Oryctolagus cuniculus: one gene and its partners. The protein of the gene in region 3 interacts with the protein of the main gene of each other region in a pairwise test. Links are inferred from orthologs where the notes say so. Each region holds a gene or a part of one and is shown on either strand. Other genes may lie near its edges.

Region 1 (3,610 bases), on a different chromosome or scaffold from region 3:
CCAGCAGTAAAACCGAACGTAGAAGATGCAGTGCAGCGCCCTCACCTCATTTCCCCATCTCCCCCATCGTCTCTGAGAAAATCCCCTAAATCTCCCAGGAACTGCTCAACGGAGAGAGGGGGGCTGGTCTCACAATCACTGCTGCCCTTTTGCGCCTGGCCTTGGAGTCACATGGATTGTGTGGGCGGGAGAGCAAAAGTCGGGCACCCCTTTGGAGAATAGGAATTCCCTGTCCCCCACTTAATATGCCAGGCTGAGCTCATTCAGACCTACTGAGGGCTTAAAAATAAACAAACGAATGGCTTTGGAATTGTGTGTCCCCAGGGTTGTAACTGCTTCTCGGATATGAGTGTATCCCTGTGGTTTTTTTGTTTTGTCGTTTTTGTTTTTTTTAATTTTCAGGGAAGGGTGATTGTGGCCCAGCCTGTTAAACCCCGGCCTGGGATGCCCGCACCCCGTGATGGAGTGTCTCGGTCAAGGCCTGACTGCTATGCTTCCTGCTAATGCACTCCCTAGAAGGCAGCAGATGATGGCCCAAGAGCTTGGGCCCTTGCCACGTATGTGGGATACCCTGATGGAGCTCCTGGCTCCTGGCTTCAGCCTGGCCCAGCCCAGGCTGCTGCAGGCATTTGAGAATAGAACCAGTGAATGAAAGATCTCGTTTGCTCGCTTGTTCACTGTGCATTCAAGTAGATGCAATAAGTAAATAAAAATCTTTTTAAAATAAAAGTAAATTCTGTTAAAATACGACCTACCTGTGTTTCAGTGGACTTCGCGCTGAAGGTGCTGCAGTGGTCCGACTCGGAGGTGGTGCGGCTGCAGCTGTGGGACATTGCAGGTGAGCTGGGAAGGCCGGCTAGGAACAAGCGAAGGCCTGTGACCTCACCAATAAGTGCTTAGAAAAGAAGCGGGCCGGCGAGACCAGAAAGGTTTTATCTGATTGGGCTGCTCGGAGGAAAGGAGCCGAGAGGAGGGGGAGCTTGGGCAGATGTTCTGCCCGGGATGGACCTGGAGCGGCGTCTGGCTAGGAGGAGGAGCTAGCAAGGTGGTGGACTATCCCAACTGGGGGTGGATGTTCCTATAGCAGGGGTTTGCAGCTGACTCTGAGGAGAAACAAGGAACCCAGAAAACAGGATGATAATACTGGACCCTTACTATGCCCCAAGCACTTTCCTGCGGATGTTAAATTCAGCTGGTGGGGTGCAGGGGAGGGAGGAGAGCAGACAGAAGCAGATTGGAAAACAGGTACCAAAACGCAGAGAGAAATAACAGATTCTAGGGACCGGTGTTTGGCATAGCTGTGTAGACATGCCCCTCACCACGTCCACATGCCATATCCAAATGCCTGGATTTGAACCCCAGCTCTGCCTCTGATGCTAGCTTCCTGCTAATGTGCACCCTGGGACACAGCAGATGATGGCTCAAAAACTTGGGTCCTGCCACCCACCTGGGAGACCCAGATTCAGTTCTGGGTCCCTGCCTTTGACCTGGCCAACCCTGGCTGTTGTGGGTAAACCAAGGAATGAAAGATTCTCCTCTCTTTTTCTCTTTCTCTGTCTGCCTTTCAAATAAATAAAAGTGAATAAATATTCAGTAAAAGAAGCACTAGATTCTAGTGTTTTTTTTGTTGTTGTTGTTGTTTTTTGACAGGCAGAGTGGACAGTGAGAGAGAGAGACAGAGAGAAAGGTCTTCCTTTGCCGTTGGTTCACCCTCCAATGGCCGGCGCGCTGCGGCTGGCGCACCGCGCTGATCTGATGGCAGGAGCCAGGTGCCTCTCCTGGTCTCCCATGGGGTGCAGGGCCCAAGTACTTGGGCCATCCTCCACTGCACTCCCGGGCCACAGCAGAGAGCTGGCCTGGAAGAGGGGCAACCGGGACAGAATCCGGCGCCCTGACCGGGACTAGAACCCGGGGTGCCAGCGCCGCAGGTGGAGGATTAGCCTAGTGAGCCGTGGCGCTGGCCTGATTTGATTGTTTTATGCTATATACATGTGCTGAAATACTGCATAGTACCCCATGAAAATGTACAGGAAATGGGGGCCAGTATTTTGGCATAGTGGGTAAAGCTGCTGCCTGTGATGCCAACATCCCATATGGGTGCAGGTTTGTGTCCTGGCTGCTCCACTTCCAGTCAAGCTCCCTGCTAATGGCCTGAGAAAAGCTGTGGAAGATGCCCAAGTGTTTGGACCCCTGCAACCTATGTGGGTGCTCCTGGCTCCTGGCTTTGGCTTGGCCCAGCGCTGGCTATTGTGACGTTCTGGGGATTGAACCAGCAGATCTCTCTCTGACTTCCAAAATAAATATAAATAAATAAATAAAATGTACAGGTGTTACATGTTAGTAAAAACTTTTAGAATAAAATTTTCTTAATTCAGGGACTCATTAATTCCAACAACCCTATCATAAAAGCTGATTTTCTAAAAAGATTTATTAATTTATTTGAAAGCCATAGTGACAGAGAAAGAGAGAGAGAGATCTTGCGTCTACTGGTTCACTCCCCAAATGGTTGCAACAGCCGGGGCTGGGCCAGGCTGCAGCCAGGAGCCAAGGACTCCATCCAGGTCTCCCCCAGGGATGGCAGGGGTCCAAGCACTTGGGCCATCTTCTCCTGCTTACCCAGGAGCACTAACAGAGAGCTGGACTGGAAGCTGAGCAGCCTGGACTCAGACTGGCACTCCAGTTTGGGATGCCAGTGTTCCTAGTGGCAGCTTAACCTTTCACTGTGCCACAACACGAGCCCCAAAGCAACTGCTTTTGACTTCACTTCACACACGAGAAATCTGAAGCACTTAGCAAGTCACACAAATAACAGTAACTGAGTCCAGATCTGGAGTGGGAGACTGGGAGCAGAGTCTGCCTTGGGGATGACTGAGTTTAGTAGGCCCTCTGTGGGATGGAGAGAAGACCAGGAGTGGGAGAGGGCAAGTCAGAAGGTTCCTGTGTCGCGTACGGGTGAGGCCTCTCCGACAAGAAAGGGCCGGTGGGCAGGTGGGGTCACCTTCTCGAGGGCGGCCCTTCCTCCCCAGGGCAGGAGCGCTTCACCTCCATGACGCGGCTGTACTACCGGGACGCCTCCGCCTGTGTTATCATGTTTGACGTTACCAACGCCACTACCTTCAGCAACAGCCAGAGGTGGAAACAGGACCTGGACAGCAAGCTCACCCTGCCCAATGGAGAGCCCGTGCCCTGCCTGCTCTTGGCCAACAAGGTCTGTGGCCAGTGTGAGAAAGTAACTCCCATTTCTTCTCTGTGGTCAGAGAGCAAGCATATCTGAAATGTCCTCTGGGGGTAGGCTTTTCCCCTGGCGGTCAAGCTGTCACTTGGGGTGCCCGAATACCATAGCAGTGCCCGGATTTCCGTCTCTGCCCCACTCCCACTTCCTGCTAATGCATCCCTGGGAGGCAGCAGGTGAGGACTCAGCTGGGAAACCCGGATTGAGCTCCTGGTTCCTAGCCTAAACCTGGCCTAACCCCAACTGTTGTTGGCAGTGGGGAGTGAACCAGTGAAGGGGAACACACACAGACACTCTCTCTCTCTCCCCATGTATCTTTTTGCTTCTCAAATAAATACAAGGCTTAAATGCTCTCTCATTCTGAACATTTGTTTCACC
Region 2 (3,645 bases), on a different chromosome or scaffold from region 3:
CCTATCCGGAAGCTGTTGGAAGTACACAGGGCCTGCAGTTTTCCAGACTCACTTGTTGACGTTACGTTTCAGGGTCTCCAGCTGCTGCCGCTCAGGAGCTGTGATCATCTCCTCGATCTCCTGCAGCTGTGCCGCCTCGGCGCCGGTAGCCTGCATAGACGCGATGATGGCTTCCACCCTCTGGGACTTCTCTAGTAGACGCCTGTTAGACACAACTCTGAGGCGAGTTCCCAACACCGGGGATTCTCTTACCCCTCGTCTCTGAGGAACAGCTCCCGCTTCCCCCTTTACCACATTCCTGGTCAAGGCTGCTCTTCTACACATTGCACTGGGTATGTAACTTGACTCCTGAAACGCTTACTGTCCCTCACTTCCCCTCAGTTTGGTGCTGTTGTATGTTTCTCATAAATTTAACTTGCGAAATTATGTCATCGGAGGTCTATCAGGAAAGTGTAGGTTAATGCACGATGCATGCCCACATTAGCCAACAATTCAACGCTACAGACTGGTTACTGTCTCTATTGCTATAGACTGGCTATTGTCTCTATTGCTGTAGACTGTTATTGTCTCTGTTGGCTTCCATTTCTACTGGAAACTTCCCCTCAGGCCTTTGCTTGAACAATGTGAATGACTCAACTGAAAATGCTACTCACTTGTTCTCTTTGGTTTCAAACTGCCTCCTTTCTATCAAATTGGCTATGCTCTGAGGAAAGAGAAGAAAAGCACACAACTCTGTTAAGTAGCACAGGTAAGCTGGGATCAGGGGCCTATGGGTGAGCCATGTCTGGGGGAGGGGACGGGGAGCTGGTGCAGTGGGGTTACCTTGTAGCACCTGTGCAGTAACATTCGGGCAGCTGAGAGCACGTTCACAGTGTATAAGTAGAAGGTCCTGGAGGGGGCGTGGTCTGGCGTTTTGGGGATTTCCTGTTTATCAAGAGGGAAAAATGAGAGGAACCACAGCACGCTTCACAGCTGGCACTGCAGAAGCACTGCTGCCCGGAGCCGCCTAGCCCGCCTTTCCCTCGCACGCTCGGCAGTCCCCTGCCACTCAGCACCTGTGTTCCTGGTGCGTGGCTAGTCGCGTGCTGTCCATTTCACCTCCAGCATTCTAAGTGGCAAAGAGAGGGAAGGTAACTGACATTTACTGAGCAGCGCCATGTGCCGGGGAGGTTGCAGCTGATCCTTCTAGCAGGTGACATTATCCTACTACCCTCGCCCATCAGCATGTTAGAGATGGGAAACATGACGGTAGGTAACTTGCTCAGTGTAACTGGGGCAGAGGCTAAGCTGTGATCTGACTCCAAAAGCTGTTCTTTCTGCTTCTTCACAGACTCTCCTGCATGGCTCTGTGTGCACCCCCAAATGCTGTGAACAGATCTAATCCATTATCCATTTAAGTCATGAGGAGAGGGCAGGGTAGCTTTCCGGTGATTTCGTGGCTGTAACTCTTCCTATCAGGCCAGCTAAAGCTCCACATTATCCTTCACGTGCTTTCTACGTCTTATGAGTCACTTCTTCTGTCTCTAAGCTGGGTACAGAGCTTGTTTCAGGGTTCAGGATATTTTTTGTTTCGGAGTTTTTCTCACCCTAGGCCAGCTTTGCAGGTTGGCAGTGATTACACCATTGGTTACCTGGAGTGAAATGAAATTTTCTGACAGCATCTTATAAAGCATATCTTTTGCCTCCTTTGCAGGAATCATTGCAAAGTCTTCTACCTGCTTCTGCTCCAAGTGTTTCTTTTGCAAAACTAGACGGAATATTCTGGCACAGCGAGATCCAAACCTGGAAAGGAATGAAGAAAGCAACTGTGCATGCTAACACATATTAGCTTCAGCTCCTAACCACAGATGGTGATTGTTCTCTTCCATGTGTGCGGCAGACCAGAGAGGAACAGTGATCACGGATTCCTTTCACAGCTCCACATCACTCCACAGCGATGGTACTGTTAATCACAGTAAGGTAGTCACCAACTGTTGACTTGTGTGAGTGCCACAGTTCTTGCATGTGCCACAGGCTTAGGGAGGCTAGTTAATCTGCATCACTGGGAACTAAACAGATCTGCTAAGGCACACGGTAAAACAAGAAAGGATCCATAACAGTCCAGTGGGAAAATGGAGCAAAGTGTACCAAGGTGTGCATATATTAGCTGTTTACATAGTGGCCAAATTGCTTGTTTGAGTGGGGTATAGATAAGGAGGGTCTCATCCCAATCCCAATCAGAGTGACCCCTTACCTCTCCTGTACGACGGACTCCAAAGTGGCTGTGGCTAGGGATGCTAATGCCTTGTGGAGGTCTTTATGTAGAGGATTAAGGTCACTCACTAATGTTTGGCCTGGTCATCACTAACTTGAAGTTAAAATTTAAATGTTATTAGCCTATAAGCGTTATAAAATATTACCCGATGATTGTGTTTAAGTAAGGGGCTGGTGTGATTGCAATTTGGTTGCTGATAAGTCCGTTTCAGGGGTAGGCATTTGCTGCAGCAGTAGGGAAGCTGTGGCCCACGTTGCAGTGCCTGAGTTCGAATCCCGGCTCTGTTCCTGATTCTAGCTTCCTGCTGATGTGGTTCTTGGGAGTCAGCAGTGGTGGCTCGTGTGGTTGAGTCCCTGCCACCACGTACAAGATCTGGATTCAGTTCTGGGCTCCTGGCCTCAGCCTGAGTGAGCCCCAGTTGTTGTGTCTGGGGAGTGAAACAGCACATGGGAGATATCTGTCTCTCTTTCAAATAAACTAAATTTTTTAGAAGTATTTTTTACTTTATCATCAATGTGGTTCATTGAAAATTCATAGAAAATTACTTCAATTCAGTATACTAAACATTATCATATCCTTTTCTCCTAAGCTGTCATTCTGCTTCATGGTTCAGGCTGCCTGACTCGAAGGAAATAGCTGGTAAGGATACTGATGACATACATTCCTCCACCACTGTCGCCAGACTTCCCAACAAATTCTAGCTATTAAAAAAAAAAGAGACAAGAGAGTGTTAAGTGAATGGAAAGTCTAGCGATTCTGTTCCCAATGGAGCAAATCTAGCCAAGGGTCTACAGCAGATAGCCCTTCTATCAGATGATGGTGGAGACACTGAGCTGCCTAGGTAGAAAATGGGGCTACAGGAGAATGATACACAGTATCAGTGGCAGAAATAAATTGTAAATAGAGCAGAATAAAGGTGGGGGGAGGAGCAAAAATAAACTTACTGGATCGTCTGCCAGCAGAGTGAGATACTGATCAAGAACTTGCTTAGAGATGTTATAGCCAACAGGTAGGGATCTGAAGATCTATGTGGGAAGAAGAGGAAGTGGGTTGGAAACTTAGAATTATTGAAACAGAGATGTCTTAATTTTAGATGTCACAAATATAAAAATGTCTGGAAACAATCACAGCAGCATTGTTTGTAACAGCAAAAACTGAGAAACAATCCAAATGTCTGGTACTAAGAACTGACAGCAATAAAGGCCATCTCAGCCCTCTGTGGAAAATGATACGGCCATCACAAAGAATGAGGATGAAAACATGCATGAGACAGATCTACAAATACTGACATAAAACAAGTTTTACATATACTGTCAGATGAAAAATTGTACAACAATATGTATAGTCTCCTTTTTTAATTTAAGAAATATATACACATAAAGCTAGACTAC
Region 3 (4,379 bases):
GCCCAGAAGACAATTTTTGTGTGCACTATGATTGAAGTGGACTCAGGTTCATGAAGAATATTCTTCATCCATGAAATCTCTTTTGAAAGTAAGGGGAACTGTGGTCTCAGCAGATTGTGTGGGCAGAGCAAGTGGTGGAATCTAAGGACACCTTAGGAATGAGCTCCCTGCTTAGAAGGGACACAACTTAGAACTGACACAATTTCTCTCAAGATTCCAGACACTGCTAGTCTAGGAGTTTGCTTTTCAGATGCAAACACCTCTAATGGTTAGAGGTCTGTAACATTTTATCTATTCCACTCACATTGTAAACACTTAGGTGGTAAATATGTAAGTGTATATGATAAAACCCTCTGTACTTTTTGTTTTTCTAAAACAAAACTCCAAAATACCCATATCAGAATTAGCACATCAGGTTCCTGCCAAAGCCTTGGAAGACTGCTCAAAGAAAACAGAGCGAAAAACTCTGTTTAGAAAGGGGAATGAACACTCCAGAAAGTCAACCAGTGGGGCTGACACAAATCCATCACCAGCACCTGTGAGAAGGATAGTGCACCACAGGATGCCAGCTAACTATTCTCAAGAATTTCACCTATCTCAAGTCTGCCAAACATCAGTCCTGGCCCACAAGCAGCTAACAAGCTAAACTTTACTGATCCAGCAGGTATCTATGACTCCCAAGCACAGCTCCTCCACCCTCTCCCCAAAAGTAGGGGAGCCCCTTGGTTCTCCAGGTTAAGTTTCCACTGCCACATGGGGTTGTTTCACTTGCAACTGGAAGAACTGAGCAAGTTGGCTTGACAGAAGCACGGACCAGCAAAAGCGCTATTATCTGGGAATTCCAAAAGCCCTTACCAGGAGTTCAGCGCGTGCCTGCTCCCCCTGCGCCCGGCGCCTCTTTTTTAAGTCTTTCACCCTTTTTAGATGGTCCAGCTGGTTCTGGATTTGTTCCTGAAAAAAAAAAAAAAAAAAAAAGTTGGGCAGGCCATAGTATAACCATGGCTGTTTTGCTTCCCCACAGACAGAAACTACAATTCTGATGCCAGGTGCCTGGTGCGAGCCTGTGTTCAGACCACACTACCATCCACAGAAGACTCAAAGCACAGGGGCCACCACCTCTCTTCTATGGCAATGTGTGCATTTCTTAAATGAATCCTCTACCCAGTTTAGCATTAGGGTGACTGGACTAGGAGATTTAAAGTCAAGTTGTAGACCTTCCACAGAGGTCCACTGAGAAAATGAAGCAACTTCTCTAATTCTCCTCATGTGTGACGGGTAAATACCACTTTCCCAGCCTATTCCAGTTACAAGGAGAGCAGGTGAAATGATGCAGTTAAAAGCTCCATGTTAGGTGACTATGCAGAAATGCATTCACTTTTAAACACGGACAAAACTGTGGGTATAATCCTGTAGCCCTCAAACACATAGCAAACAGACAACATCAAGGACGCCTGGAATGTCTCCTTAAAACTCTTTTGCACGTGATACTTTGTTTCCGTGTTATTGTTTTGCTGCCGCAGTCGGTTCAACAGTTTGCAAAAGGCTTTGCACTTCTTATCCCCTTAATCATAATACCTGTTATCTCCCGTGTCTCAGGATGGCGAAATGCCTTACTCAAGCAGTGGAGAAATGTGTTCCTTTCCATGAGCTTCTAGAACAAGACGGTTTACAAGAAGTGCTTACAGACTAAGTGACGGGCATCTGCCGGATGACTCGGACACCGCGGTCACCGTCCGAGCGGGTTTCCTCTATAATTTGGGAGCAGAGTGTCTCAGGAGCCTATTGATGTGTACACAGCTTTATGCACATCTTGTAGGGTGTCGGGTTTGCGGGTGGGGGTGGGGGAAGGGCTCCAGGGAACGTCTTTATGTCCATAGCGTCCGAGATCTGGGAAACACAGGGATAGGAGTGGGGGTGGGGTGGGGCGACTTCTGGCTTCCCCAGCAGCTACAGGTTTTCCTCCAAATCCGAGTGCGGAGGCTCGGGAGCGGACAGAGAGGAAATGACGGCTGTGAACCACACGTCCGGCTCAGCCATTTTCTAGGCAAGGAAAAAAAGGGGAAGCCCCCGTGGCTCTCCCCTCCCTTTGTCCGCCTCGCTGCGCGCGCGCCGGGGGGGGCCCTCACCTTGAAGCCCTCCACCGCCTCCTCGAGCGGCAGCACGCTGTGGCCGCGGTGCTCGCGGGAGCGGTCGCACACCACACAGATGGGCATCTGGTCCTCCTCGCAGTACAGCTTCAGCGGCTCGCGGTGCTTCTCGCACACGCCCATCTCGCCGCCGGGCCCGGACGGCCTCTCGGTGCGCAGCTGCTTCACCAGCTGGGTCACGTTGGCCAGGTGCCGGTTGGGCCGCATGTGCCGCTGCGGAAAAGTCTCTCGGCACTGCGGGCACGACACGTTCGTCTCGGCCGAGCCCCAGCAGCGGGCGAGGCACGCGCAACAGATGTTGTGGCCACAGTCGAGCATCATGGGCTCGACGAAGTACTGCAGGCACACGGGGCAGGTGGTCTCCTGCTGCAGGCACTCGGCCACGCTCCCGGAGGCCATGGCGCGGGCTGGCGGGGGCGCACGGGCATGGGCCCCCGGCGCCGAGCTCTGCGCGGAGCCCGACTCTCCGGCGCTCTCTCCGGGTCGCTGCTCGAGCCGGGCGGGCGGAGGGCGGTGCCCCTCGGGCCCGGATTCCCTGGGAGGCTCCGGCGGCCGGGCAGCTCGCTGCCCTGTTGTACCCTTTGAACGAGGCCCGGAAGGCTGCCTCCCGACGGAGCCCCGCGGCTACGCGGGTAGGGGGGCCAGGCGCGCAGCGCCTCGGGCCGGATTCACAGGGGCAGGCGCGCCAGGCGCGCAGGACAACGTGGCTGCGTCCAAGCGGATCCCGCAGGCCGCGGAGACCCCGCCCCGGCGCGACCGGAAGAGGCGGGGCGGCGTGGGGCGGGGCTTGCGGTTCTTGGCCTCGGGGCCTAGCTGTTTCCTGCCGCGGAGGGCGGCTTGGCTGGGCGCGCGCCCCAGGGCGGGACGGGTCGGGACGGGACCTCCGAACCGGGCGCTGAGGACCCCTGGTCTTTTGTGAGGTTTTCTTTGGGCGCTCAGGCCTTAGCCCTTGCCAGAGAGGGCTGGCTTTGTGTAGGACTGGGAAGCGCAGGCCCTGAGGCTAGCGGATGGGGCTGCAAACTGAGCTGCATCCGGTACGTGACGCACTTTGTTAAGCAGAGCCATCATTTGCTGCCGCTCGCCGTTTTGTTTAGGGGGAAAAATGGGTGTATTTATCATTCTGAAACATTTCCGCAGGGAGAAAAACCGCGAGCCTAGTTCTGCTACTCCCTATCTCTGCTCATGCAAGGTGTTTTACCATTCTGAGCCTCAGAATCGGTATACCTCAGCAAGAAGGTAGACTTAATCGTTTAATTTTTGAGCCGTAAGGATGTTTATCCGTGAAAACCGCAAAATACCCACGGCGTAGGGTTGTTGTATTGAGCGGCACCTGAAAACCTCTTGTTCCTTTCTGAAGTTCAGAGTGCGAATCCCACAGTGCCCCGGGGTCTTGGAATCCCGGGCTGTCTGTTCTCTTATCACACAGTGGATTTCCCGTCATCCCTACTTGGTATTTGCTGGTTTCCTTGGGATTTTTCTCAGTGTGGTTTTGGGTCTCAGCAGTAGGGCCTCTGCTTCCGGAACTTCTGTTTGGAGGGATCCGAGAGGCGAAGTGGACATGCCAACCCCAAGCCCACGTCCTCTGAACCACACTCTGAGTACCCAGTCTGTGAAATTCCAGACCCCAGTAACCCTAGCCCACTTACAAAAAACGTAGAAATATTGGGCGGGGCCATACTGTTCGGAGAGTCCATTAGACCTAAGGTATTTATGCATATTTGTGCAGCTTCTCTCCTCTCTTATCTCTCTTCTCATCTGGCTGAAAAAATAATAGGAATGCCGCAAAGGTACAGTGCTTAAAGTAAGAATAAGCTGACAGATCGATGGGACAGAATGGAAATTGAGAAATAGACTAAAATGTTGGTAAGAATTTGGTATCATGTAGAGGAAAAATCAGATTGGCTCTAAAAGTTCAATAAATGATCCTGGAACAACCGGGAAGGTGTTGGGGGAGGGGAAGACTACTTTTTATTTTTACAGATTTATTTATTTATTTGAAAGCCAGAGTTCTTTCTCAAAGAGACAGGGACAGAGACAGATATTTCATCTGCTGCTTCGCTCTCCAAACAGGCGCAACAGCAAGGGCTGGGCCAGGCTGAAGCCAGGAGCCAAGAGCTTCTTCCAGGTCTCCCATGTGGTTGCGGGGGCTCAAACAGTTGGACCATCTTCCACTGCTTTGCCCAGGCAGATTAGCAGGGAGATGGATCAGAAGTAGAGCAGCTGGGACATGAA

What was found. The genes of interacting proteins can lie anywhere in the genome.
Region 1: the proteins of TRIM27 (region 3) and RAB29 interact in binary tests that used the Homo sapiens proteins (3 or more experiments, as listed by UniProt). The two-hybrid records come from large-scale screens. The link is inferred for Oryctolagus cuniculus from reciprocal best matches to the Homo sapiens genes TRIM27 and RAB29.
Region 2: the proteins of TRIM27 (region 3) and POLR3C interact in binary tests that used the Homo sapiens proteins (3 or more experiments, as listed by UniProt). The two-hybrid records come from large-scale screens. The link is inferred for Oryctolagus cuniculus from reciprocal best matches to the Homo sapiens genes TRIM27 and POLR3C.

What each region holds. Positions count from the first base shown.
Region 1 is NC_091444.1:21,088,689-21,092,298, reverse strand, and holds part of RAB29 (ras-related protein Rab-7L1), read left to right. Parts: intron 1-766; coding exon 767-838; intron 839-3,026; coding exon 3,027-3,208; intron 3,209-3,610. UniProt on the Homo sapiens protein: The small GTPases Rab are key regulators in vesicle trafficking. Essential for maintaining the integrity of the endosome-trans-Golgi network structure.
Region 2 is NC_091438.1:49,048,788-49,052,432, forward strand, and holds part of POLR3C (DNA-directed RNA polymerase III subunit RPC3), read right to left. Parts: intron 3,280-3,645; coding exon 3,199-3,279; intron 2,956-3,198; coding exon 2,904-2,955; intron 2,894-2,903; exon of another isoform or gene 2,831-2,893; intron 2,295-2,830; coding exon 2,234-2,294; intron 1,783-2,233; coding exon 1,632-1,782; intron 1,109-1,631; exon of another isoform or gene 1,056-1,108; intron 925-1,055; coding exon 823-924; intron 704-822; coding exon 654-703; intron 203-653; coding exon 53-202; intron 1-52. UniProt on the Homo sapiens protein: DNA-dependent RNA polymerase catalyzes the transcription of DNA into RNA using the four ribonucleoside triphosphates as substrates.
Region 3 is NC_091436.1:154,135,732-154,140,110, forward strand, and holds the start of TRIM27 (zinc finger protein RFP), read right to left. Parts: upstream 2,892-4,379; 5' UTR 2,547-2,891; coding exon 2,127-2,546; intron 952-2,126; coding exon 856-951; intron 1-855. UniProt on the Homo sapiens protein: E3 ubiquitin-protein ligase that mediates ubiquitination of various substrates and thereby plays a role in diffent processes including proliferation, innate immunity, apoptosis, immune response or autophagy.